7 linked regions of the Oryctolagus cuniculus genome follow. The protein of the gene in region 2 binds, or shares a complex with, the protein of the main gene of each other region. Links are inferred from orthologs where the notes say so. Each region holds a gene or a part of one and is shown on either strand. Other genes may lie near its edges.

What was found.
Region 1: CRNKL1 (region 2) and DHX16 share a complex: the UniProt entries of both Homo sapiens proteins name them as parts of the minor spliceosome. The link is inferred for Oryctolagus cuniculus from reciprocal best matches to the Homo sapiens genes CRNKL1 and DHX16.
Region 3: CRNKL1 (region 2) and CWC22 share a complex: the UniProt entries of both Homo sapiens proteins name them as parts of the minor spliceosome. The link is inferred for Oryctolagus cuniculus from reciprocal best matches to the Homo sapiens genes CRNKL1 and CWC22.
Region 4: CRNKL1 (region 2) and SNRPD2 share a complex: the UniProt entries of both Homo sapiens proteins name them as parts of the minor spliceosome. The link is inferred for Oryctolagus cuniculus from reciprocal best matches to the Homo sapiens genes CRNKL1 and SNRPD2.
Region 5: CRNKL1 (region 2) and GPKOW share a complex: the UniProt entries of both Homo sapiens proteins name them as parts of the minor spliceosome. The link is inferred for Oryctolagus cuniculus from reciprocal best matches to the Homo sapiens genes CRNKL1 and GPKOW.
Region 6: CRNKL1 (region 2) and SF3B5 share a complex: the UniProt entries of both Homo sapiens proteins name them as parts of the minor spliceosome. The link is inferred for Oryctolagus cuniculus from reciprocal best matches to the Homo sapiens genes CRNKL1 and SF3B5.
Region 7: CRNKL1 (region 2) and BUD13 share a complex: the UniProt entries of both Homo sapiens proteins name them as parts of the minor spliceosome. The link is inferred for Oryctolagus cuniculus from reciprocal best matches to the Homo sapiens genes CRNKL1 and BUD13.

What each region holds. Positions count from the first base shown.
Region 1 is NC_091436.1:139,773,299-139,776,798, reverse strand, and holds part of DHX16 (pre-mRNA-splicing factor ATP-dependent RNA helicase DHX16), read right to left. Parts: coding exon 3,308-3,500; intron 3,163-3,307; coding exon 3,064-3,162; intron 2,956-3,063; coding exon 2,803-2,955; intron 1,303-2,802; coding exon 1,162-1,302; intron 988-1,161; coding exon 825-987; intron 726-824; coding exon 607-725; intron 510-606; coding exon 442-509; intron 1-441. UniProt on the Homo sapiens protein: Required for pre-mRNA splicing as a component of the spliceosome. Contributes to pre-mRNA splicing after spliceosome formation and prior to the first transesterification reaction.
Region 2 is NC_091442.1:44,666,546-44,670,045, forward strand, and holds part of CRNKL1 (crooked neck-like protein 1), read right to left. Parts: intron 2,836-3,500; coding exon 2,677-2,835; intron 2,230-2,676; coding exon 2,063-2,229; intron 1-2,062. UniProt on the Homo sapiens protein: Involved in pre-mRNA splicing process. As a component of the minor spliceosome, involved in the splicing of U12-type introns in pre-mRNAs.
Region 3 is NC_091434.1:61,123,408-61,126,907, reverse strand, and holds part of CWC22 (pre-mRNA-splicing factor CWC22 homolog), read right to left. Parts: intron 2,194-3,500; coding exon 2,092-2,193; intron 2,011-2,091; coding exon 1,772-2,010; intron 1-1,771. UniProt on the Homo sapiens protein: Required for pre-mRNA splicing as component of the spliceosome. As a component of the minor spliceosome, involved in the splicing of U12-type introns in pre-mRNAs. Promotes exon-junction complex (EJC) assembly.
Region 4 is NC_091449.1:11,279,628-11,281,738, reverse strand, and holds the end of SNRPD2 (small nuclear ribonucleoprotein Sm D2), read right to left. Parts: intron 804-2,111; coding exon 629-803; 3' UTR 501-628; downstream 1-500. UniProt on the Homo sapiens protein: Plays a role in pre-mRNA splicing as a core component of the spliceosomal U1, U2, U4 and U5 small nuclear ribonucleoproteins (snRNPs), the building blocks of the spliceosome.
Region 5 is NC_091453.1:34,252,582-34,256,661, forward strand, and holds the start of GPKOW (G-patch domain and KOW motifs-containing protein), read right to left. Parts: upstream 2,801-4,080; 5' UTR 2,767-2,800; coding exon 2,591-2,766; intron 1,818-2,590; coding exon 1,663-1,817; intron 1,558-1,662; coding exon 1,433-1,557; intron 1-1,432. UniProt on the Homo sapiens protein: RNA-binding protein involved in pre-mRNA splicing. As a component of the minor spliceosome, involved in the splicing of U12-type introns in pre-mRNAs.
Region 6 is NC_091436.1:24,439,438-24,442,162, reverse strand, and holds SF3B5 (splicing factor 3B subunit 5), read right to left. Parts: upstream 1,233-2,725; 5' UTR 1,089-1,232; coding exon 828-1,088; 3' UTR 501-827; downstream 1-500. UniProt on the Homo sapiens protein: Component of the 17S U2 SnRNP complex of the spliceosome, a large ribonucleoprotein complex that removes introns from transcribed pre-mRNAs.
Region 7 is NC_091432.1:108,946,649-108,950,657, forward strand, and holds the start of BUD13 (BUD13 homolog), read right to left. Parts: upstream 2,801-4,009; 5' UTR 2,770-2,800; intron 1-2,769. UniProt on the Homo sapiens protein: Involved in pre-mRNA splicing as component of the activated spliceosome. As a component of the minor spliceosome, involved in the splicing of U12-type introns in pre-mRNAs.

The sequences.
Region 1 (3,500 bases), on a different chromosome or scaffold from region 2:
TTCCCAGGAGGGGTATCCACAGGGGATCTCTGGGGCTGCGTGCACTGGGCAGACCTGTGGCCTACACCGCAGCGGGAGAACGGCATTTCAAGGTGGTCCCTCCACAGTCACATCTGAATGTTCTAGCGGGAAGCCTTAGCGGAGGCAGCTCCAGAATGAGCCCTCCCTCGGCACCCCTCACAGAGAAAAGAGCCTCCACTTCTGTGCTCACTCTTGCTCCCGGATTTCCTGTCGCTCTGGCCCATTTAATACCATGACCAACGACAGGACAGTGTATTAGTGACCCTTATGGGCCTCAAAAAGGGCAGTGAGGGTTATCCAATTACGTTACTGTTAAAGGACAGTATGATGGAGAAATACAGAGAGAGATGGCCATGGAAACAGGGGAGGCACGGCCAGTGTGTGTGCTGGAGCCCCAAGGCGGGGTGGGGGAGGACTTACTTCTCGGAGGCCAAGATCATTTTAGACAGCATGGGGTCCACTGGCAGCTCTGCCATCTTTCGACCAGACTAAAGAGAAAATCGGAGCCAATCCTCCCTCAGGTTTCCCTGCACCGCTGCAGCGGTCCCCAGGGCCCCCAGCCCTCCTCCTGCCCTCCCATCTCACCGTGGTGAGCTCCCCGAGGTGGTTGAGGGCTCCTAGAGCATACAGCTGCTCCAGAGCCAGCAGCAGGGTCTCATATGGTGGAGGGTCCAGGAAATCAAAGTGCATCAGGTCGTGGATCCCTGGGGAAGGGCATGGGAATAGAACAGGACCTTCTCACCAGGACCAGGCACTCTAGCCCCACCTCCCTCCACTCAGGAGGACTGGGGTAGCCCAGTCACCTAAGCTTTTGAGCAGCAGCACGACGTTGCCCAGGCTGGTCCTCTGGATCTCAGGCACCGTGGTCTCCTCAAGCTCATGCTGATAGGCCCAGGCGGTATACAGACGGAAGCACTTCCCCGCGGCCACCCGGCCCGCGCGGCCAGCCCGCTGATTGGCTGAGGCCTGCAGAGAAAGGAGAGGCTGGCTGACAATCTGACAGTTCAAGGGCGGTATGTACACAAGAAACCTGGGCATTTGTAGACTGCTTGTCCCCCACCCTCTAAGAAGCTGCTTCTGGGCTGACCCTCCCTGCAGGATAATTCCACCTCTCTCCAGCCCACAGAGACCCAGGCTGACCTTGCTACAAGGTGTGACAGTGAGGGATTCCATGCCTGTGCGGGGGTTGTAGCTCTTTTGCTTACAGAAGCCTGGATCCAGCACATAAATGATGCCCTCAATGGTCAGCGACGTCTCGGCAATGTTTGTTGCCACAACCACCTGAAAGAGCAAACGTAACCCTGGGAAGCTAGGAGTGGAGAAGCAGGGGCAGGCGGGGCGGGAGATGAGGAACCAGGGCCGAGGTCAGGGGAGGGGCCAGGCCATAGAAGGTGGGAGGGCCGTGGTGGGGACGGTCAGCAAAGGCCTGAAGAGGGGAGGATGTGAAGAGGACTTGGAGTTCCTTCAGGGAGGCGAGGTGGAAGTTTCCAGACGCCCGCCCCCCCTCTCCCCTGCACCACGTTATTGATTTTCTTCATGCTACCACTTCCTGCGATGGCCTCCTAACAAGTCTCCCTCTTCCTACTGCTAGTCCCTGTCACATGGCATCCAGAGTGACCCACTTAAAATGTAAACCTGGAGCAGGCGTTTAGCCTAGAGGTTCAGAAACCTACATCCTTTGTCAGAGTACCTGAGTTCAACTGCCAGCTCCAGCTTCCTGCCAATGCAGACCCCGTGAGGCAGTGATGATGGCTCATGTAACGGGGCTCCTCCCTCCCACAGGGGAGACCTGGGCTGCATTCCCAGCTCCCAGCTCCCAGCTTCAGCCCCAGCCCGGCCCCTGCCACCGCAGCATCTGAGGAGTGAGCCAGCAGATGGCAGCTCTGTTTCCCAAATACACGAATAAATCAAACCTGTCATACCACTCTCCCAGACCGCCTGAATGGTTTCCTATCCTGCTCTAGAAATAAAGCTAAGTTCCCTAAAGCCCTGAACCTGGGCCCTGGCTGCCTTTCTGCCCTCAGCCCCCTCTCACTGCCCAGGCCTGGACCCCCCAGCACACCCCTCTGGCAGATCCTGTGCAACAGCTGCTCCCTTCCTCACCTGGTGTAGGCCTCTGCTCCACTTCCTCCCCTGTACTGTAAGGGAAATGCCCTCCTGCTGTTCCCCACTCCCCGCCCCCAGGGCTGGTCTCAGCTCTCTATGCTGCCTTGCGTCTCCTCACAGCACTTGCTGGAAGTAAGCACCATACTTTCACGCGTCCGCTATCTCCGCCCATCGCACTGTGGGTTCTGTGAGGCTAAGGACTTTGTTTTTCTGCCACTGTATCCTCAGCCCCTGGAACAGTGGTTGGCACACTGGAGGGACACACTAAATGTGGAGTGAGTTACAGCTCTACTCAAAGTCGAAAGCCCAGCCTCTCCTGCCTGCCATCAAAGGCCTCCCTAATCTCCATGCACAGTGGCTTTCACCCTCACCGCAGCCCCACCTTGGCCTTCCAGTGACCTCCCCAGGGGTTTTTCTGAAAGCTCCACACCAGATCCTTCCTGCTGGCACACCCGGGCTTCCCTTCCCTGCAGTACTTCCTTTCCGACCGTGCGCTCGCTCTCAGTCCTGCGGTATTCATCCTCTCTCTCCAGCCTGCAGTGAGGGACTGGCTGCTCCTCAGCCTGCGTCTGCAGCTGGGCCCAGGACACGCCTTGTATGGGTCAGGCAGCCACCCTCCCTTTCACTACCATTTGTGCACAGCAAGAGGTGCGCAGTAAGGCTTTCACAACTGACCTTTCGTGCCCCAGGGGGCGTGGGCTGGAAGATTCGGGCCTGCATGTCGGAGGGCAGGTTGGCATAAATGGGAAGGACCAGCAGCTCCCGGATTTTGGAGCCCAGGCGGCGGCAGCGATCCTGGAGCATCTCACAGGCAGCCTCGATCTCCTCCTGCATTGGGGGTGGGGAGAGCAGCAGGGGTTCCAGTCACCGAAGGCCCACGTGCCCGCACTGTCTTGCCCGGGGATAGCCCCTCCCCGGGCCCTGCACGTCACACACCTGTCCTGTCAGGAACACCAGGATGTCCCCGGGGGGCTGCGTCACGTGGATCTGCAGCACAGACACAACACAGGCTTCCAGGTAGTCAGCCTCCGGAGCCTGGGGGGAGAGATGTGGTCGCAGGAGGGCCGCCTGCTCAGGCAGACCCCTCCTCCCTTCCCAGCTCGACACATGCTCTGTCCCACCTCCCACTTCCCTCCCTGGGACAACCCGGACTCAAGCCCATCCTCCCTGGGCAGGGCACCTTGGTATAGAAGATGTCGACCGGAAACCTGCGTCCGGGGATTCGGAAGACAGGGGCGTCATCAAAGAAGGTGGAAAAACGGGCAGTGTCCAGCGTGGCTGAAGCCACGAGGACCTTGAGCTCAGGGCGGAAGCGAGCAACATCCTTGATCAGCCCAAAGAGAATGTCTGTGTGTAGGGTCCGTTCATGCGCC
Region 2 (3,500 bases):
TCTGGCTCTCCGCAAATGTGCCAGGGAGAGAAGTGGATGATGGCCCAAGTAGCTGGGCCCCCACATCCACTTGGGAGACCCAGATGGAGTTCCAGGCTCCTGGCTTGAGCTTGGCCCAGCCCCAGCCATTACAGTCATTTGTGGAGTGAACCAGTGGATGGAAGCAAATACATTCCCACCCCCACCCCTCTCCCTCTCCCTTTAAATAATTTAAAAAAATTATTTGAGCTAACAACTAAAGAAGAAACAACAAGCCACAAAAATAACACTGCTAACTAGAGCCAAAGGAATATGTTTTACATTGCCACTTTATCTAACAGAACATAACTATTTTTAATCTCACTTCCTTGAAGAAGTCGTTGATTTCCAAAGTAGTACATTTACACATGGCAAAAGGTGTTAAGGGCACTGGTCCTAAAGCTGCTCTGCAGGGTTTTTTGTTTTGTTTTAAAGATTTATTTATTTGAAAGTCAGGGTGACAGAGAGTGAGAGTGAGAGAGAGGGAGGGAGAGGTCTTCCATCCTCTGGTTCACTCCCCAGTTGGCCGCAATTGCCAGAGCTGTGCCGGTCCAAAGCCAGGAGCTTCTTCCAGGTCTCCCACATGGGTGCAGGGACAGAAGGACTTAGGCCATCTTCTACTGCTTTCCCAGGCCATAGCAGAGAGCGGGATCGGAAGTGGAGCAGCTGGGAATCAAACTGGCGCCCATATAGGATGCTGGCACTGCAGGTGGCGGCTTTACCTGCTATGGCACAGTGCTGGCCCCTGCAGTTTTTTTTTGACAGGCAGAGTGGACAGTGAGAGAGAGAGACAGAGAGAAAGGTCTTCCTTTGCCGTTAGTTCACCCTCCAATGGCCACCGCGGCTGGTGTGCTAAGGCTGGCGCATAGCGCCGATCCAAAGCCAGGAGCAAGGTGCTTCTTCTGGTCTCCCGTGCAGGTGCAGGGCCCAAGCACTTCGGCCATCCTCCACTGCACTCCCGGGCCACAACAGAAGTCTGGCCTGGAAGAGGGGCAACCGGGACAGAATCCAGCACCCCAACTGGGACTAGAACCCGGTGTGCCGGCGCCGCAGGCGGAGGATTAGCCTAGTGAGCCGTGGCGCCAGCCATGGACATTCATCTTAGTCATCTCTCTCCCATCTTGACCTTAGGTTAAGTATTTCCATTTGGGTCAAGAAATCAGTGTGTAGGAGAGGGATGCTATTTTCACAACAGTTAAGTGGACAAGAAATGGATAGTTTGCCTACATTAAAGTACATTAAATTCATGTATCTTGATTTAAAATCATGTAAGAACTACCAGTTCTATATACATCTTCACTGTTTTACTTGGGGCTTATTCTAGCCTTAAATGTAAGTGAAGTGTTAGGAATACACACAGGCTGCTTGTCTGGAGTTGTTATTACCTATTAGAAGAACTCAGTGAGTGGTGACCACCAGGAAAAGTCTAAAGCTGCCTCCAAATTTAACATAATAGGAGTTTAAGGAATTCATTATATTTTTGTTTTGTCTGTGACTTATGTTTTTACTTTTTTTTTTTTTTTTTTTGACAGGCAGAGCTAGACAGTGAGAGAGAGAGACAGAGAAAAAGGTCTTCCTTCTGTTGGTAACCCCCCAAATGGCCGCTACGGCCGGCGCACTGCGCTGATCCAAAGCCAGGAGCCAGGAGCTTCCTCCTGGTCTCCCATGCGGGTGCAGGGCCCAAGCACTTGGACCATCCTCCACTGCACTCCTGGGCCATAGCAGAGAGCTGGCCTGGAAGAGGAGCAATCGGGACAGAATCCGGCGCCCCGACCATGACGAGAACCTGGGGTGCTGGCACCGCAGGCAGAGGATTAGCCTAGTGAGCTGCGGCGCCGGCCGTGAGACTTGTGTTTTTAAAGATGGGTTTAGGGCCCAGCGCCGTGGTGCACTAGGTTAATCCTCCACCTGCGGCGCTGGCACCCCATATGGGCGCTGGTTCTAGTCTGAGGATCTGGAACTTCCCATTAACGACTCTGTGTCCCGGCCATGACAAGAGCTGCCCCCAGGGCAGTGCACCACTCAGAGCTCATCCAAAGGATATATCGTTCATAAATGGTGCGGGCCCGCTCCACCTCTTTGTACCTCAGCTCGAAGTTGATGTAGGAGTGCCAGGCTTGCTCCTCGGGCTGCCACTCCATCCAGCGCTCAAACACCTGGCGAGCACCCGCAATGTTCCCCAGCATCTCCTCCATGTACGTGTACTTGTACCTTCAACACAGTGACCCAAGACACCTGTTGTACTCCAAGCGTCTTAGTGCAAACACCATCTTTGACAATTTCTAGTTCTCCCTTTATTTAATGAAAAAACTTAAGGTTTTATCTTTCCTAACGGTTAATGCAAACATTTTCTTAATGAAATATAAATCTGAACAAGATGAACTATTAGGAAAACATTTTTTTCTTAAAAGTTGCTAGTTAAATGTGAAGTTTTTAGGCACAAATGATTGCAATTAGCACTTTAGTTTTGATCACATGTGATTAGCTATTAAACGTTTTGATTATGAGTTAATAAACTATAAGGCATTATAAAGCTCTTACAGGATGTTTAAAGTAAAAGTAGACTGCAACATTAATCTAAACAATAAACTGTGTGAGTAAAACAAACACAACAGCATTTTCCAGTCTGAGAGGCTGCTCTGCTAGATCAGGACTTACCAGAACTGGTTGACTCTGGGCAGAGTCGTGATGGCCCGGTCCCAGATATTACGGGCATGGTTGACCTGGCGATTTTTCATTTCCATTTCTGCATACTTCAGCCAGAGCGTAATATTTCGGTAGTCCACATCTAAAGCACGCTCGTATATGGAGCGAGCCCTGAGGAGGCAAGAAGTGAGGGTCTCAGAAGCAGAACAGACAATGCATGGCAGTTACATCAAGCTACCGGCAATGCCCTGATGTTTTATTGGGTGTTTACTGTAAGTCAGGTTTGGGGCATAAAAAAACGAAAAGATGGTGTTCTCAAATAGCTTACAAAATCTATGGAAAGATAAACACGTGTGTGATTACAATGCAGGTCACAGTCGAGTCCTGCAGAGGAAGCAGACACAGAAATGGCAATGTCTGCTGAATGAGCTAAGTGGAGGTAACTCCAGAACGGAGAACATGAGGACAGCCGAGTTTACCAGGACAAGGCTGGTGGGAAGGTGTGCTCCTCCCAGGCACACAGAACTGGAAAGTAACGTGGCAAGGAGAAATGATGTGCTCAGAGTGTGCTGAGAACTTAGGCCCAGCACAAGCAGGGGCTGTGAGGGTATGGAAAGGCTGGACAAGGGCCAGGTCGTGATTTTCAGCTTGTTCACCACTGGTACTGGGTGGAACATTTTTATTTCAAATTTTCAATAAATAGAATTAGACACAGAGTGAATGCTACACCTTACAACCTCCGCCTGCCATTCACCCCAGACCATACTAACACAGTGCCCCTCAAGCCCCTTTGAAGGAACCGCAGGGCTCCAGGAAACGAAAGTTGGACATTACTA
Region 3 (3,500 bases), on a different chromosome or scaffold from region 2:
CAACCCAGCTCTCTGCTATGGCCTGGGAAAGCAGCAGAAGATGGCCCAAGTGCTTGGGCCCCTGCACCCATGTGGGAGACTGGAAGAAGCTCCTGGCTCCTGGCTTCAGATTGGCTTAACTCTGGCAGTGCAGTGGTTTGAGAAGTGAACCAGAGGAAGGAAGACCTTTTTCTCTGTCTCCCCTCTCACTGCTCTAACTCTACTTCTCAAATAAATATATAAAATCTTTTTTTTTTTATTTGACAAATAAGAGTTAGAGAGAGAGAGAAAGACAGAAAAGTCTTCCTTCCGTTGGTTCACCCCCCAAATGGCTGCTACAGCTGGAGCTATGCTGATCCGAAGCCAGGAACCAGGTGCTTCCTCCTGGTCTCCCATGTGGGTGTAGGTGCCCAAGCACTTGGCCATCCTCCACTGCTTTCCCGGGCCACAGCAGAGAGCTGGACTGCAAGAGGAGCAACTGGGACTAGAATCCAGCACCCATATGGGATGCTGACGCTGCAGGCGGAGGATTAACCAAGTGAGCCACAGCGCCGGCCCCAAATATATAAAATCTTTAAAAACAAACAAACAAAAAAAACCCTGGTTGATAGTATTTACTAAAGTCAAACACAAACACATGCTATGACATCTGATTATCAGCAATAATTACATGCTATATTATCTGATATACCACCTGTAGGTATATACCCAAAGGAAATGTGCACACACATACACACATATACACAAACGTTTCTTGTCCAATGATGGGGCTATGTCCCAATAAATCAATTCCAAGTTAAAAATACCAAGATGAAAATGACTAAACTCCGAAACATAACTTAGTTTAGCCTATCTTAAATGTGCTCAGAATACTCAACATTAGCCTACAGTTGAGCATCATGAGAGCAATGTATGGCATTACCCCAGCCCAGGAAAAGATCAAAATACATAATTCAAAGTACAGCTTTTATGGAATGCATATGGACTATCATAGTCAAAAACTCCTAAGATGAACCATTGTAGGTTGGGGACTATCTGTGTATATATGATCAGCAAAAGTTATGTACAAGAGTATTCATGGGAACACTATCTGTAAATTTACATGTCCACTGACTAAAAAGATAATAGGATTACAGTATATTCATGAAGTAGAGAACTGTAACAGGAATGAATGAACTATACCTAAATGCAATTCTATACAAGAATCTCACAAACGTAATGTTGAAAGAAATGTCAGACATAGAGGATTCGTAATGCACAGTTCTGAAGTTACAACATACAAAACGAATCTATAGAATTACAAATCAGAATAGTAGCAGATAGGCCAGAGGGAGGGCAGTTACTGGGAGAGGGAACAAGGAGAAATTCTGGCCAGAGTGCTAGCTATTCACATAGCACACAGGACAAGCACTGCATGTGTGGTATATGTCAATCACTAAAATAAAGCTTTGCTATTAGAAGAAAAGCCAAAACATTTTTTTTTTTTCAAATAAAAGCATCAGGCAACTGTTATACATTATATTAAGTTGACACCACGATAAACACATGCCCATGAAGTATCTTGGCTTCGATGAAGAGGATTCCAACAGGTAATGTTGGCATTGTAGATGCTGTAATACACTAACACATTGTAATAGTGACGGATGATTGTGCATATTATTAACTAAAGCTTTAAACAACTCAACTCTAAAACAAGCAATACAATACAATCACTTTCTTCCGTCATTATAAATACCACCAGCAATACGCTTGTTAGCAAAGAGCAGGATAGGTTATGGAGAAGCTTCAATACCTGAGGCCGAGCTGTGACTCCCGGAGGATGAAGAATCGCTCTCCTCACTGGAGGACCCTGAACTGCTATCACTGCTGTCAGAGTCAGAGTCAGAGTCAGAGTCAGAGTCAGAGGAGTCGGACTCCGACGAGGAGGACGCTGATGACGAAGAAGACAGGGAGGATTTATTTGGTTCAACATCTGGTTTCTGAGCCACTATGACTTTTGGTGTGTTTTTGAGATGCTCACGCAATTCATCCCTAATTAAAAACATAGTCTGTTAGATTCTGTCTCAAAGGCAACTGTAAGGTAATTGTGTAAGGTGAAAACAAAATTCTTACGTTAAACCTCCAAGACCTATAGAAGTAAAGAAGTTGATGGCAAATCGAGTGTTTCTTGGATTATCTCGGGGTAACAACCCTTCAAAGAATGGCTGTAGGGTTCTATAAAAGAAAAAAAAATGAATGGAAGAGAACAAAAAGACAAAAATCCTTACAGTTATTTTGCAGACTTCCAGTATATTAAATAAACAAATGAAATAATAAATGGTGGTGTATGCCTCTTATTAGGTTATGCTACCTGCTATCTAAATGAAATGAGTAGGGTCAAGTAATAATATACTAAGCTGAATTTTTAAAAACTTTTCACTCGTGTCAACACAGAAGAATACACATGGACACATACATATATGTGTGTGTATGGTATACATATATAAAATTTTTTAAAGGTTTACTTACTTATCTGAAAGTCAGAGTTACACAGAGAGAGAAGCAGAGGCAGAGAGAGAGAGAGAGGTCTTCCATCCGCTGGTTTACTCCCCAGTTGGCCAAAATGGCTGGAGCTGTGTCAATTCGAAGCCAGGAGCCAGGAGCTTCTTCTGGGTCTCCCACATGGGTACAGGGGCCCAAGGACTTGGACCTTCTTCTACTGTTTTCTAGCCAGAGAGCTGGATAGGAAGTAGAGCAGCTGGGACTTCAACCAGTGCCCATATGGGATGCCTGTGTGGCTTTACCTGCTAAGCCACAGCGCCAGCCCCCGTATTTAAGATTTAAAAAAAACCCGCTTGTATTTTAATATATACACAGGCATGTGTACACAACACTGAGAGATATGAGGAAGGAGTCAACAAAAGGGAGACATTTAGGATTGAGGACTGCATAGAATTACTCTATTTACAGAGCAGGGCAAACAGAAAAACATTAACAATGTACTGTGGTTCTGATCAATTCTGAGTGCCACACTGAATGACTACTAGATGGAGTCAGGAAAACGTTTCATAGAAAAAGGTAAACTATTATAAAAAGAATGATTAAGAGTTTGCTAGACAGATGAAAAAGAGAGGGGACTGCCAGTTGTAGAAACAGAAATAAAGAAACATCAACAGCCAGACAGGCTTGACACGATGGCAGTGGAGATGTGGCTACAGTGCCATTTGCTAAAGGAATTGAGCCTGGTACAACTGACAGGAACCAGAGTCAGTAAGTATATGAAGCCAGGAGAAGTGGATGGAATAGCCCACAGATAGCATCCAGAACCCAGGACAGACCTCAGGTGAACCTTAACACTGGAGAGGCCAGCTGAGGAGGAGACGGAGACTAAGGATAAAGTGAGAAGTCACAGTGAGCAAGTGACCAACTGCTAAAGACAGGCAGAGAAGTAAAGGGGCATAAGGACTGACTACAGCATTTGGCAGTGGTCATGGAAGAAGCTGGGAAGGATGCTTCAATGGTGTCCACTGATTACAAAACAT
Region 4 (2,111 bases), on a different chromosome or scaffold from region 2:
AGCGGCGAAGCCACAGGCGTGGGTGTGGATCCTGGCACCACCACGTCCTGCCTGGGTGCCCCTGGGGGGTGACGCTGCCTCTCTGGGCCTCAGTTCCCTCCTGTGCAACACGTAACACACAGGCTGACAGCGCCGACACCCAGCTGAGGCGGGTCCAGGGCTGTCCCGGGCACTGTTGCACGGGGCGGGGCACACAGGAGGCCCCTGCCTTGTCGGCACGAATGCAAACAAAGTCCAGAAGAAACCCGGGCAAGGACAAAGCCCTGAGAGGCAGGGGGCGGAAGAGGGCGACAGGGAGACCAGGAGAGCCAGGGAAAGGCGCACAGAACTCGCGCCAGCCTGAACTGAACGGCCACTCCCACGTGACTGGCTGCTGTGGACGGGGAAGTGAGCCAGGCGGGGCGCAGACCGGCCTCCCCCCGCAGGTCCTGGCCCCAGCCCGGTGGCCGCCCTCTCCCAGGTGCGCCCCGCCCGCGAGGCGCTGGAGCAGACAGACCCGCTAGAAAACACGCTGGGGCTTTATTGACGCAGGGCGGGGCGGGGCCAGCGCAGGGCGGGGCGGCGCCCTACTTGCCGGCGATGAGCGGGGCGGGGCCGGCGCAGGGCGGGGCGGGCGCAGGGCGGCGCCCTACTTGCCGGCGATGAGCGGGTTGCGCAGCACCACGATGACCGAGTCCCCGCGCAGGAACATCTTGGAGATGTAGCGGTCCTTGTTGACCGGCTTGGACTTCTTCTTGCCCTTGCCGCTCTTGGGGACCTCGGTCCACATCTCCTTCACGTTCTCCAGCACCATGTTGCAGTGCCTGCGGGGGGCGGGGGGGGGGCAGGGTCAAGGGGAGCCTCTGGCCCGCCCCGCCGAGCCGTGCTGGGCGTGGGGAAGGGACAGCCGCCCTGCAGCCCCCGCTGCCCCCGCCCCCCCTGCGCCTGTGTCCTCCTCCCCGAGACGGAGACAGCGGTGCTGCCGAGGAACTGCGGGGGAGCTTCCGCCTGCTGGTCACTCCCCAGATGCCAGCAACACCCGAGTGCCACGCGGTGGCAGGGACCTAAGCACTTGGGCCACCACCTGCCGCCTCACAGGGACCACTGGGCCGGGAGCAGAACTAGGACTGAACCCAACACAGCAGGCAGGCGTCCAGAGTGGGCCCGGAAGTGCCCTTCCTCCGGGTCTCCCACGCGGTGCAGGGCCCAAGCACTTGGGCCATCCTCCACTGCACTCCCGGGCCACAGCAGAGAGCGGGCCTGGAAGAGGGGCAGCCGGGACTTGAACCGGTGCCTGTATGGATGCAGGCGTCGCAGGTGGAGGCTTAGCCCACTACAACACAGCAGCGGTCCAGGGATTTTTTTTTTTTTTTTTTTTTTTTTTGAAGGATGCAGTTATTTATTTGAAAGGCAGAGTTAGAGAGAGAGAGATGGAGAGAAAGATTGTTCCTTCCACACACTGGCTTACTCTCCGAATGGCTGTAACGGCCAGGCTGGGCCTGGGCAAAGCTGGGAGCTTTCTCTGGGCCCCCCAGCTGAGTGGCAGGGGCCCATGTGCTCCGCCAGCTTCTGCTGCTCTCCCCGGCACGTCAGCAGGGAGCTGCGTCAGAAATGGAGTGGCTGGGACTTGAACCAGCGCCCATATGGGACGCAGGTGTTGTAGGCAGCAGTTTAACCCGCAGTACACAGATGCCAGTCCTGGGATTAAAAGAAAAAAAAAAAAAAGGATAAGAAGGGGCTGGCACTGTGGATCAGCGGGTTAAAGCCATAGCCTGCAGCACCGGCATCCTATATGGTTGCCTGTTCGAGTCCCAGGTGCTCCACTTCGGCTCCAACTCCTGCTGATGCACCCAGAAAAGCAGAAGATGGCCGAATCCTTGGGTCTCTGCACCCACATGGGAGACCCGGAAGTGGCTGCAGTTCCCGGCTCTGGCCTGGCCCAGCCTCAGCCCATGCGGCCGCTTGGGGACTGCACCAGCGATGGAAGATCTCACTCTCACTCCCTCTCTGTAATTGTGCCTTTCAAAAAAAAAAAAAGGCTGGCGCCGTGGCTCACTAGGCTAATCCTCCGCCTAGCGGCGCCGGCACACCGGGTTCTAGTCCCGGTCGGGGCGCCGGATTCTGTCCCGGTT
Region 5 (4,080 bases), on a different chromosome or scaffold from region 2:
GCAGAGAGGACAGTAAGAGCAAAGGCTCTGAGGCCAAACAAAACTCGGTGTGTGTGAAGAGTATTATGAAAATCAACATGACTGGAACAGGGACATGGGGGCAGAGGAGCATGGGTAAGGGGTCAATCAGGAGAGCTGGGTGCAGGAGGCAGACAACCTGCAGGCAGGTGGAGGTCACATGAGGGGCCAGCGAGAAAGTCACTGCAGTCGTCCAGATGTGCGGTGCTGGTGGTGATGAGAAGTGAAATTCTGGATGCATTTAGAAAAAAGGCAAAGACGGCGTTGACAGATCATACGTGGGGGTATGACAGAGAGAGGGAGGGGCAAAGATGACGGCAAGGTTTGGAGCTGAGGGAGAGGAAGGACTATGGAAGTGTGATCAATTGACAGGTGGAAGGCTGCTGGAGGGGGCTTGTCAGAGGGAAAATGAGAAACAAGGCCAGAGCTGGAACAGGATGAAGAGTAAATGGAGGGTCTTTGTTTGTTTTTTAATGAAAGACACCAGAGCACAAATGAAGGTGGATGAGTTCACTTCTAATCACCCCAGTTAAAGCCAGGATGGTCGATGCTCTGTGGCCATAGGAGAAGTAGGCCCTGAGGAAGCAGTGCAAAATACTTATGAATGAACAGGTGAGAAGTCGAGTCCAAGATATGGACAGACTTGCTTACTTCCATGGCCCTGCCGCTACCCTTTCCTGTGGTCGCTTCCCGTCGTTACTCCTTCAATCCTTTCATTCACTCATTCCAGACACACAAGTTGTCTCACTAACAGACACACCACACAGCCTTCCTGCCATGGCCTGCTCGGGCAGCTGCTACCATTAGGAATACTCACCCTGCTCTTGCCTCTCTCGCTAAACCCTACCTCGCCTTCTCTCACGCCACTTGGATCTGAGTCCTTACCATCTCTGGTCTAGACTGCTGGGCTCCCTGCTTCTACCTTCACTTACTAGTCTGTTGTGTTCACAGTAGATTCTGTTGAATCATAAGTCGCATCCTTTCTCTGCCTAGGGCCCACCCATGGCTATCATTTCATTCAGGGTAAAAGCCAAAGTTCTCATCATGACCCACAAAGCCCTGCCTGGTCTCGCCGCACCCCCTCCACTGCCACCTGACTTCTCTTACTAATTCCAGTCCAGCCGCGTTGGTCTCCTTGGTGTTTGTCAAACACTCCAGGCAGTGTCCACCCTCATGGCTATTATATTTCCTCTTCCCTCTGCCTCTCACCCCATTCAGACAATCCTAGGATCCAACTTCATATTCCAATATCTGGATTCATGTGTTAATGTTCCCAAAAAGGCTGGAAGGAGGAAGAGCTAGGCAGTAGGCCTCCAGTGTACACACAGACTTTCTTTGCTGTGTGTAAGAAGGCATGCATGGCAGACAGGGCAAGGAGAAACCAAGGGAGCAAGGGGGTAAGGGGCCAACTCACAGTTTCAGCTGAGTGTTCGCTGTCTACCCCTTCCTTGTTGGAGGTGTATCCTTTCTGGATCATGGGGATAGTGAGCATGGAGTCGGCATTTGCATTCTTTCTTTCTTCCAGGGACTTCTCGGTTTCTAAGGAAGAATGGGAGGGAGCAATGAGGTCCCACCCCATGTATCTTCCACCTTCTTCCTTGTCTTTCTTCACTGGAGCAGGGTGGGGAGAGGGGGCCCACTTACCCTCAATCAGTTCCTTCACAGCCTGGGACAGCACCTCATCCATCAAGGTCTTGGTGTCTGTGGATAGCCCAGAGGGCTGGACCAGGGGCTGCCTGTGATAGCCATTCTGAATCAAGGGAATGACAGGTTCCTTGGGGACCTCTGAGGGCTTCACACTGATGTGGACAAAGAAAGGTAAGGTGAGGAGAGAAGCAGGGTCCGTGGGTTCCAGCTACACCCCCCCTATGCAGAGAAACACAAGAGCCAAGCCCCCTCCTAGCTCCATGGACCATGCCTCTGATTGCACGTCATTGTCCCTCCAGCCCTTAAATGACAGTATCTTCCAGGAATCATTGCCAGGCCGTCTGTTCATCCCAAGAACTACAGATGACCATTTGCAGCCAGACTCTTCCCAGCTCCAGAACAGCCTCCTAGGCGGTTGCTTCTCTTCTGCGAGTCCCTCCCTCAGGCACTTCAGCCTCTTCTTTCCTAAAGATGCTGATGCGGCCTCCCTCAACCTGAATCTGCAGCTCCATCTCGTTCCCCGTATTAGAGTCGCCCCCATTCACTTTAGCTGAGACAACAGGGTCCTGTAATTATTCCCTCTTTCCCACTTATCTGAACGCACACACCAGAGTGTCCCAGCATCATAAAGGTATTCCCTGTCATGAATGTGAGGGCATTTCAAAAAGTCCATGGAAATGAATACTGAAATAATGCGCATTTCCCACGAACTTTCTGAAGTATCCTTATACATCTTCTCAGTCCACACGGCCATGAAAAGCAACTTCCCTACTTCTCCCACAAGCTCCTGCCTTCTCTCCTCCACGGATTTCCTGAGGCCGTGGTTCAGGCTTTCCAGGCCACTGTCATCAAAGCAAACTACTCGAGTCCTCCCGCTCGCACCCACGGCACCGATTTACAAGGGGCGAAAGACCCGGCGCTTCACCTTTGTAGCTGCCTCCCTTCCACGGTCTTCAAGAAATCCTTCTCCTCTGGGGCGGACTCTGCGCCATCACTTAGGGCCACCAGCCGCCTCCGAGAGGACGTACGAGTAAAGGCGAATGAAATTGGGGCAGTAGAAGGTGCAGTCGGCTGCAAAACACCATCTTCGGCGTCTGCCATCTTGCCCCAGTTCCCAGGCTGGTGCGCTGCTTGCTGGGAAGTTTAGTTTGGGTTCAATTCGCTAGCGGCAGTCAGACAAGCGCAAGAACTACATTTCCCAAAAAGCATTGCGGCGTCGGCCGACGAAACCAAACAACTAGCCGTAGGAAGTTATTGTAGCGCGTCTGAATTTCACAGGAATGCGCCTGCGCCAAGTATACCGGGAACTGTAGTTCCGCCAAGAGGCGGTAGCGGTAGAAGGTAGATTCCTTCTTCCCAGGAGTTCGTTTCTTCTTGTTTTAGAGAATGGTCTTGAAAACAGGTATTCCATTATTCTAACAATCTCATGGCTATGTTTCCAGTTTAGAAACCCTGGGCATCTTGGGATGGGCCCTGAACTCCCAAAGGAACAGCTACAGTAACTTTCAAAACAGAGCAATAAATTTTTAAAAAATCTTTATTCAGCAATACTTTTAGACTTACATGTCGCGAAGTAATACTGTTCTTTTTTTTTAAAAAAAGATTTATTTATTTGAAAGTCAGAGTTACACAGAGAGAGGAGAGGCAGAGAGAGAGAGAGAGAGAGAGAGAGAGAGAGGTCTTCCATCCAATTGTTCACTCCCCAGATGGCCACAATGGCCAGAGCTGTGCCGATCCGAAGCCAGGAGCCAGGAGCCTCTTCCCAGTCTCCCACGTGGGTGCAGGGACCCAAGGACTTGGGCCATCTTCTACTGCTTTCCCGGGCCATACCAGAGAGCTACACAGGAAGTGGAGCAGCCAGGTCTCGAACCGGTGCTCATATGGGATGCCGGCACTTCAGGCCAGGGCGTTAACCCACTGCACCACAGTGCCAGCCCCAAGTAGTGTTCTTTTATATCTTTTATCCAGATACTCTTAAGCTTTTTATATAACAATAGTATAATTATCAAAATCAGAATGATGCAATACTATTAGCTGTAGACAATTTTCTGTTCCAGAATTCAGAATTAAACCTAAGATCACATATTGCAATATAATTGCAATGCCTCCTTTCTCTTCTTCAGTCTTGTGGCAGCTTCTCAGTCTTTCTTGACTTCTAACTCTTGCAAAGTACAGTTCATTTTTTTGTAGAACCTTCCTCAGATAGGTTTGTCTGATGATTTCTCATTGTTGGACTGAGGTTATGAATGTTTGGCAAAAAATGATGCAGAAATGATGTGCCCTTCTAACTATATCATACTAGGGGATTTGTGATGTTGATATGTCTTATTACAAATGAAGTGAGCATGGATCACATGGTGCTATAGTTTGAATATTTATCTCTCTTCACTCAGGAGTTTAGTCCTGAAAGGATTT
Region 6 (2,725 bases), on a different chromosome or scaffold from region 2:
CCACTCTGCCTGTCAAAAATAAAAAAATTAAAAAAAATAATAAAATTTCATTTATTTTAAAGTTAGAAATACAGAGTCGGAGAAAGAGAATCTTCCATCTGCTGGTTCACTCCCCAGATGGCAGCAATGGCCAGGGCTGGGTTAGACTGAAACCTGGAGCTTCTTTCGGGTCTCCCACATGGGTGCCTGTGGCCCAAGCACTTGGGCTACCCTTCTCTGCTTTCCCAGGAGCATTAGCAAGAAGTTGGATCAGAAGTGCAGGGGCCAGGCCTCCAACCAGCTGCCCATATAGGATGCTGGCACTGCAGGCGGAGGCTTAACCTTCCAGGGGCTTTCTGAAGCTCCCCAAAGGGCATGCTGGGCGGATTTCAGTGCCTGGCAAGGCAGGCTGGTTCTGTGCCCTCCACCCACCCTCTCCTACTTGCACACGCACAGAACCTTTGGTTCCGAGTCCTCCCCAGCCTTCTCCCCTGGAACACAAACAGATCACACCAAGAGACTTAACAGATTCTAAACTTTATGAAAAAGGCAACGCGACAATCAACTAAGTCAAACACGAGCCTCCAAATCCCCTCACTCCAGTGCCGTCTTCCCCAACGCCCGCCAGCTCTCGGACCTCTTCACCCGCAGTTCTCAGGGAGCCCCGGCGGTCCTGGTGCTGCGTCCCGAGGGATCCACGTGAAGACAGCACCGGCGGGACACCTCGGCGAGCACTTCTGCACCCGGAAGGCCGGAGAAGCAAGGAGTCGCGGAAGAACCAGTCCACTGGAGACAGGAACGCGCGGGCAACGCCGGCGATCGGGAGGCTCGCTGGAGGAGGCGCCGTCTCAGTTTTCCTCGGGCTTGTCAGCGGGGGGGCCGCAAGGCTGCAGCATCTTCTCCATCAAGTTGAAGCGCACTCGCGCTTTGCTCTCATTCTCCGCGATGGCGAAGTAGTTGAGAAGGTCGAAGTGGCCCATGTAGGAGCAGTAGGAGTCGCGGTGCTGGTTCACCAGCCACTCCCACTTGGTGGTGTCGGCGTGGCCCGTGCCGATGTACTTGGACTGCAGGTGCTCCAGCTGGCTGTGGATGGTGTAGCGGTCTGTCATCTTGCCGCTTTCCCTTTCGCTCCGAAGTCAGAAGTCGCACGAGGGTTAGGAACCGGTCTCGGGTTTCCCGCCGGAGAAAGGCCAGCACACGGAACCGGCAGCCTCGCTCAGTCGCAGAGAAATTGCGTCACAGCGACGGAGTGGCGGAGGACGCGGAAGCGGAAGCACATTTTGAAGCCGTATTGGAGTTGCCCTAGCGACACTGAAACTGTCCCGCCCCTTTAACAGAGTCCCGCCCCCCGCCCTCGGAGAGCGTTGCATGATGGTCCACTTGGTGGTCCGTGGGTGGCCCTGTACTGACGTAGCGTCTTGCATGCTGGGATTTGTGGTCTCTTCCGAGACCGCGGTTTAAGAGCTGAATGGAGGGCAGAACCCCAGAGGCGGGGAGCATGCGTTGTCGGCCCGGTGCTAAGAGAAAGTGGGCCAGTGGGCCAGTGGCACAGGCAACCAAGAAAATAAACCCTTGGTGTAATTAGGCGCTGACGAGGCGGCACGGTAGCCCCTTCACAATCGGGTGGCTTACTGAGGTCGGCAGACGCGACCTCTGGTCCCACGCTCTAGCGGGGCCGCCGTTCCCGTTCGGTGACCCTGCACAGCCCCGGGGCCGAGTCGCTTGGGCGCCCCCGGCGCACACTCCTTCGGTCTCGCCTCTCGGGCTGGTGGCCCCCGGCGACTCCACGCCGACCCCCACGACCCCGGCCCGCACTCGGCCAGGTGCCGCGCGCGCCCGCGTCCCCTTCGGAGCCGTTAGCGCCCGCGGGAAAGGCTTTGTTCCCGCGGCGACGCGTCTGCCTTCGGTTGGCTCCTCCTTTGCATCTGATTTTCGCTTTATGTTTTACCTTTTGGTTTAAAATTCACGGCGGTAGAAATACTTGAGGAAAAAACAAACCCATACTTATCTTAGGATATCCTTTTTGGATATTCGTACAGCCTGATAGATTGTGTTCTCCAAAAAACAGTTGAGGGATAGAGAGACAACTACAGCCAAAGAGAGGAACGCTGCCCGGAGAGCAAGAACTTTAAAAAGCAGTTTTGTTTTGCTCTTTTCAGCTTGACAATTCATTCCTAAAGTGTGGAAAATTTATAAGGTATATCTTTGGCTTCATCCTCTAGGTGTATCAAACCTTGACATTTTGCCGTATTTGTCCTGATTTTGTTTTGATTTTTAAGAGATAAATTCTGCAAATAAACGTTCTCCGCGTTCCCTTCCCTCATCTCTTGGACACTGTCCTGGATTTAATGTCAATCATTCTGTTTTCCAATTGCTGAAAGTTTGTGTATCCATAAACAATAGCTGATAGGCATGGTTTAAACCTATGAGTAGCATATATAATGCTGTAAAAGTTGCTTTTACTCTTGTCAGTATCCTCATTGATATATGAAACTTTAATTCTTTTATACTGTTCAATATTAGCCACTGGATCAATATACCATAACGTGTCCACTCTCAGTAATGGGTTGTTTTCATATTTTTTCTTGAAAATTTATTTGAAAAAGAGTGAGAGAGGGAGACACAGAGAGAGAGCTTCCATTCTCTGGTTCACTCCCCAAACGGTAAAGGCTAGGAGCTTCATCCAATTCTTGAACATGGTTACAGGGCCCAAATATTTGCACCGTTTTACACTGCTTTTCCCAGG
Region 7 (4,009 bases), on a different chromosome or scaffold from region 2:
TTCAAGGCCTTCTAAGGATACTACAATCTTTTTTTTTTTTCCTTCTGCTAAACGATCTTTTTTCCGTTCCCTCAGACTATACCCATTACATCAGCAGGGCTGTTCCAGCTTACTGTGGAACTCTTCTCTGCTGACATATTAAATTATATGCCAAGCACACTCCATTCCCTGTCCCCAAGGCCACTGTCCTCTTTAATTTCTTCTTTGATTTTTTTTAAACTTGAGAGGCAGAGAGAGAACGAGAGAGCGAGCTTTTATCCAGTGGCGTTCACTCCCCAACTGCCCAAAATGGCCAGGATTGGGCCATGCCAAAGCCAGGAACTCGGGACTCAATCTGGGTCTCCCACATATAGCAAGGACCCAATTACTGGAGCTATGATCATTGCCACACAGGTCTACATTAGCAGAAAGCTGGAGCCAGAAGCCAAAGCCAGGTGCTAAACCCAGGTACTCAGATATCAGGCAGAGATGTCTTTAACCGGCATTTTAACTGGGCTAAACGTCTGCTCCCTTTTCTGCATTTAAAGGCTGTTCCTCTAGAGGAAGCCTTCATTCCTCGCTTCATTTAAATGACATTACAGGGGGGCTGTCGCTGTGGCTTAGTGGATTAAGCTTCCACTTGCAGCACTGGTTTGTGTCCCAGCTGCTCCTCTCTGTTGGTGGCCAGGGAAGGCAGTGGAAGATATCCAGAGTTCTTGGTCCCAACACCTGCATGGGAGACCCAGAAGAAGCCCCTGGCTCTTGCCTTCAGATTGGCCCAGCTCCAGCTGTTGCAGCCATTTCGGGAGTGAACCAGTGGATGGAAGACTGACCTCTCTGTCTCTCCCTCTCTCTGTCTATAACTTTGCCACTCAAATAAATAAATAAATAAATAAAACCTCCCAGGTGCTCCTGGCCCTGGCTCCTGACTACAGCTTCCTAATAATGTACTTCCTGGTGATGACTCAAGTGATTGGATCCCTGTCATTCATGTGGGAGAACTGGACTGACTTCCCAGCTCCCAACTTCAAACCACCCTAGTCCTGGCTGATGGGGACATTTGGGGAGTGAACTAGCAGGTGGGAGCACCCTTTCTCACTCTCCCTCCCTCTCTCTGGCTGTCTCTCCTCCCTCTCAAGTGACACTAACTTTTTAAAAAAGGATTGTTGTTTAAGAATACACAAACACACACACACACTACTAACAAATACTATCTGAGATGAAATCTGAAATTTCCACAGCCCTCCAGTTTGTTCCCTTCAAATAGAAACTACAAAACTTCTGCAGAATGTTGATGTGTTGCAAATAGATTAGTCAGGCTAAACCACAATGGGGTAAGAAGGAGTAATAAAAAGGAGGGCAAACAGGGACTGTCTGAACTTGTACCTAATAGTATGGGTGCATTTTGATTACATTCCTAGGTTTTGGTTGAGTCATTGTTTTGTACCATGGAGAGAAATATTTCTGACCACTGTTACACATAATAATGAACTATTCTCAAGCAGTTTTCTAAAGAAATTACATAGAGAAAATCATTTCTTTCCCAGAATGAGAAATTCTGTTAAGTTTTGTTAGGTTTACAAAGAATTCAACGGCACTTATCAGCCAGTTTTTAGCACTGAGAGAAGCTGTTTGGGATTTACTGAGAATTCATTCACACACAAAATTTTGTAAGGTATTGTTTAAAAACTTTAATAAAATGAGGTTCCCGCTTGGTTGTCTATCACTACAATCTCTCTCTGATTATCGCTTAAATACCTTAAAAAAAGTTAATACCTTCAAGCACCAGACATCACTCTTTATACTTGAAAATACAGGACATCCTCAAGCAAGTCAATAGTCATTTCACAGAACTGGAATCTTCATGGCACCATCACACTTGCAGCTGTTAACTTTTCCCAAGGCGTTAAGTTTTTATGTTTTTTTAAAGATTTTATTTATTTGAAAGGTAGGGTTAGACACACACAAACACACACAAAGAGAAAGTGTCTTCCATCCGATGGTTCACTCCCTAAATGGCCGCAATGGCCAGAGCTGGGCGGATCTGAAGCCAGGAGCCAGGAGCTTCTTCCAGATCTCCCACATGGGTGCAGGGGCCCAGACACTTGGGCCATCCTCCACTGCTTTCCCAGGTGCATTAGCAGGCAGCTGGATTGGAAGTGGAGCAGCCAATACTCAAACCAGCACTCATATGGGATTCTGGCGCTGCAGGCAGTAGCTTAACCCATAGGCCACAACACCAGCACCCAGTTTTATCTTTAAAGGCCTTCATACATTAGCCTCAAACTACTTTCTCATCATCTTTTAATACTAAACTGATGCATTTACTGTCTCTAAAAAATGACTTGCACTATCATGTTTTCATATCTTTGCTTATATCACTCTGTCAAGAATTGCCTCTTTCCCATTTTTCTCCCCACATATGAACAGACACTTCTGATCAATCCTTGCTAACACTGGCAGTCTTCCCTTCTCTCACTCCTCTAGTCAGCCAAAGGTTTTCTGTCCCTGCTCACAATCTTTGTGGTCTTTGCCCAGATGACCCTATTCAACACTTAGTGAAACAAAGCTACAAATATTCTCTTTTTCATTGACTTGTAATATTTTGCAACTAGAAAAACCCTGTAAAATAATTAGAATAATAGGTTTCCAAGTTTTTTTTAATCACCAAAGATACTTTTGTTTTTAATATATTCCCCCGACACCTGCTTGTCACTCTTAGGCCTTTATGTTAAAAGTCTGCAGACAAAATTTTTAAAAACTTTGTGAACGGCCGGCGCCACGGCTCACTAGGCTAATCCTCCAAGTAGCAGCACCAGCACACCGGGTTCTAGTCCCAGTCGGGGCGCCGGATTCTTTCCCGGTTGCCCCTCTTCCAAGCCAACTCTCTGCTATGGCCCGGGAAGGCAGTGGAGGATGGCCCAAGTGCTTGGGCCCTGCATCCCATGGGAGATCAGGATAAGCACCTGGCTCCTGCCTTCAGATCAGCGCGGTATGCCGGTTGCAGTGCACCAGCCGTGGCGGCCATTGGAGGGTGAACCAACGGCAAAAGGAAGACCTTTCTCTCTCTCTCTCTCTCTCTCTCTCTCACTATCCACTCTGTCTGTCCAAAAAAAAAAAAAAAAAAAAAAACCTTTGTGAACTAAGTTATGTTTATGAATAAACAAAATTTACTTGAAAAACAAAAAAGGATAAATTAAAGATTTATTGTAGGGGCCCGCATCATGATACAGCGGGTTAAAGTCCTGGCCTGAAGCACGAGCATCCCATATGGGCACCAGTTCTAGTCCCGGCTGCTCCTCTTCCAATCCAGCTCTCTGCTATGGCCTGGGAAAGCAGTAGAAGATGGCCCAAGTCCTTGGGCCCCATGTACAAATGTGGGAGACCCGGAAGAAGCTCCTGGCTTTGGATCGGTGCAGCTCTGGCCCTTGCACCAGCGAATAGAAGAACTCTCTCTCTGTCTCTACCGTTCTCTCTGTAACTATTTGAAATAAATAATAAAAAGTTTAAAAAGTCTAAAAAAAAAAAAAAGGACTTATTGTAGATCGAAGTTGCTCAAACTCAGATCCAACAGAGAAAGGATACAACTTCAGTTAACAGCAAAGATAACTGAAATTTTATTTAACCTGGGTAGTTTAATCATGAATACAAAAGCTATAATTATTCTCAGCTTTAGAAAAGCAAAACAGGCCCAGTGTTGGGGCATAGAGGGTAAAGCCACCTTTAATGCTGGCACCCCATATGGGGATTTGTTTGAGACCCAGCTGCTCCACTTCCGATCCAGCTCCCTGCTGCTTGTCTAGGAAAGGCAGCCCAGGAGTGCTTATGCCCTTGCTACCCACTGCTCGACTTCTGGTCCAGCTCCTGGCAAATGTGCCTGGGAAGGCAGTGAAAGATGGCCCAGGTGTTTGGGCACCTGCACTCATATGGGTGACCTGGAAGAAGCTGCTGGCTCCGGCCTTCAGCCTGCCCAGCCCTAGCCATTGTGGCCATATAGGGAGGGACCCAGCAGCTGGAAGTTCTCTCTCTC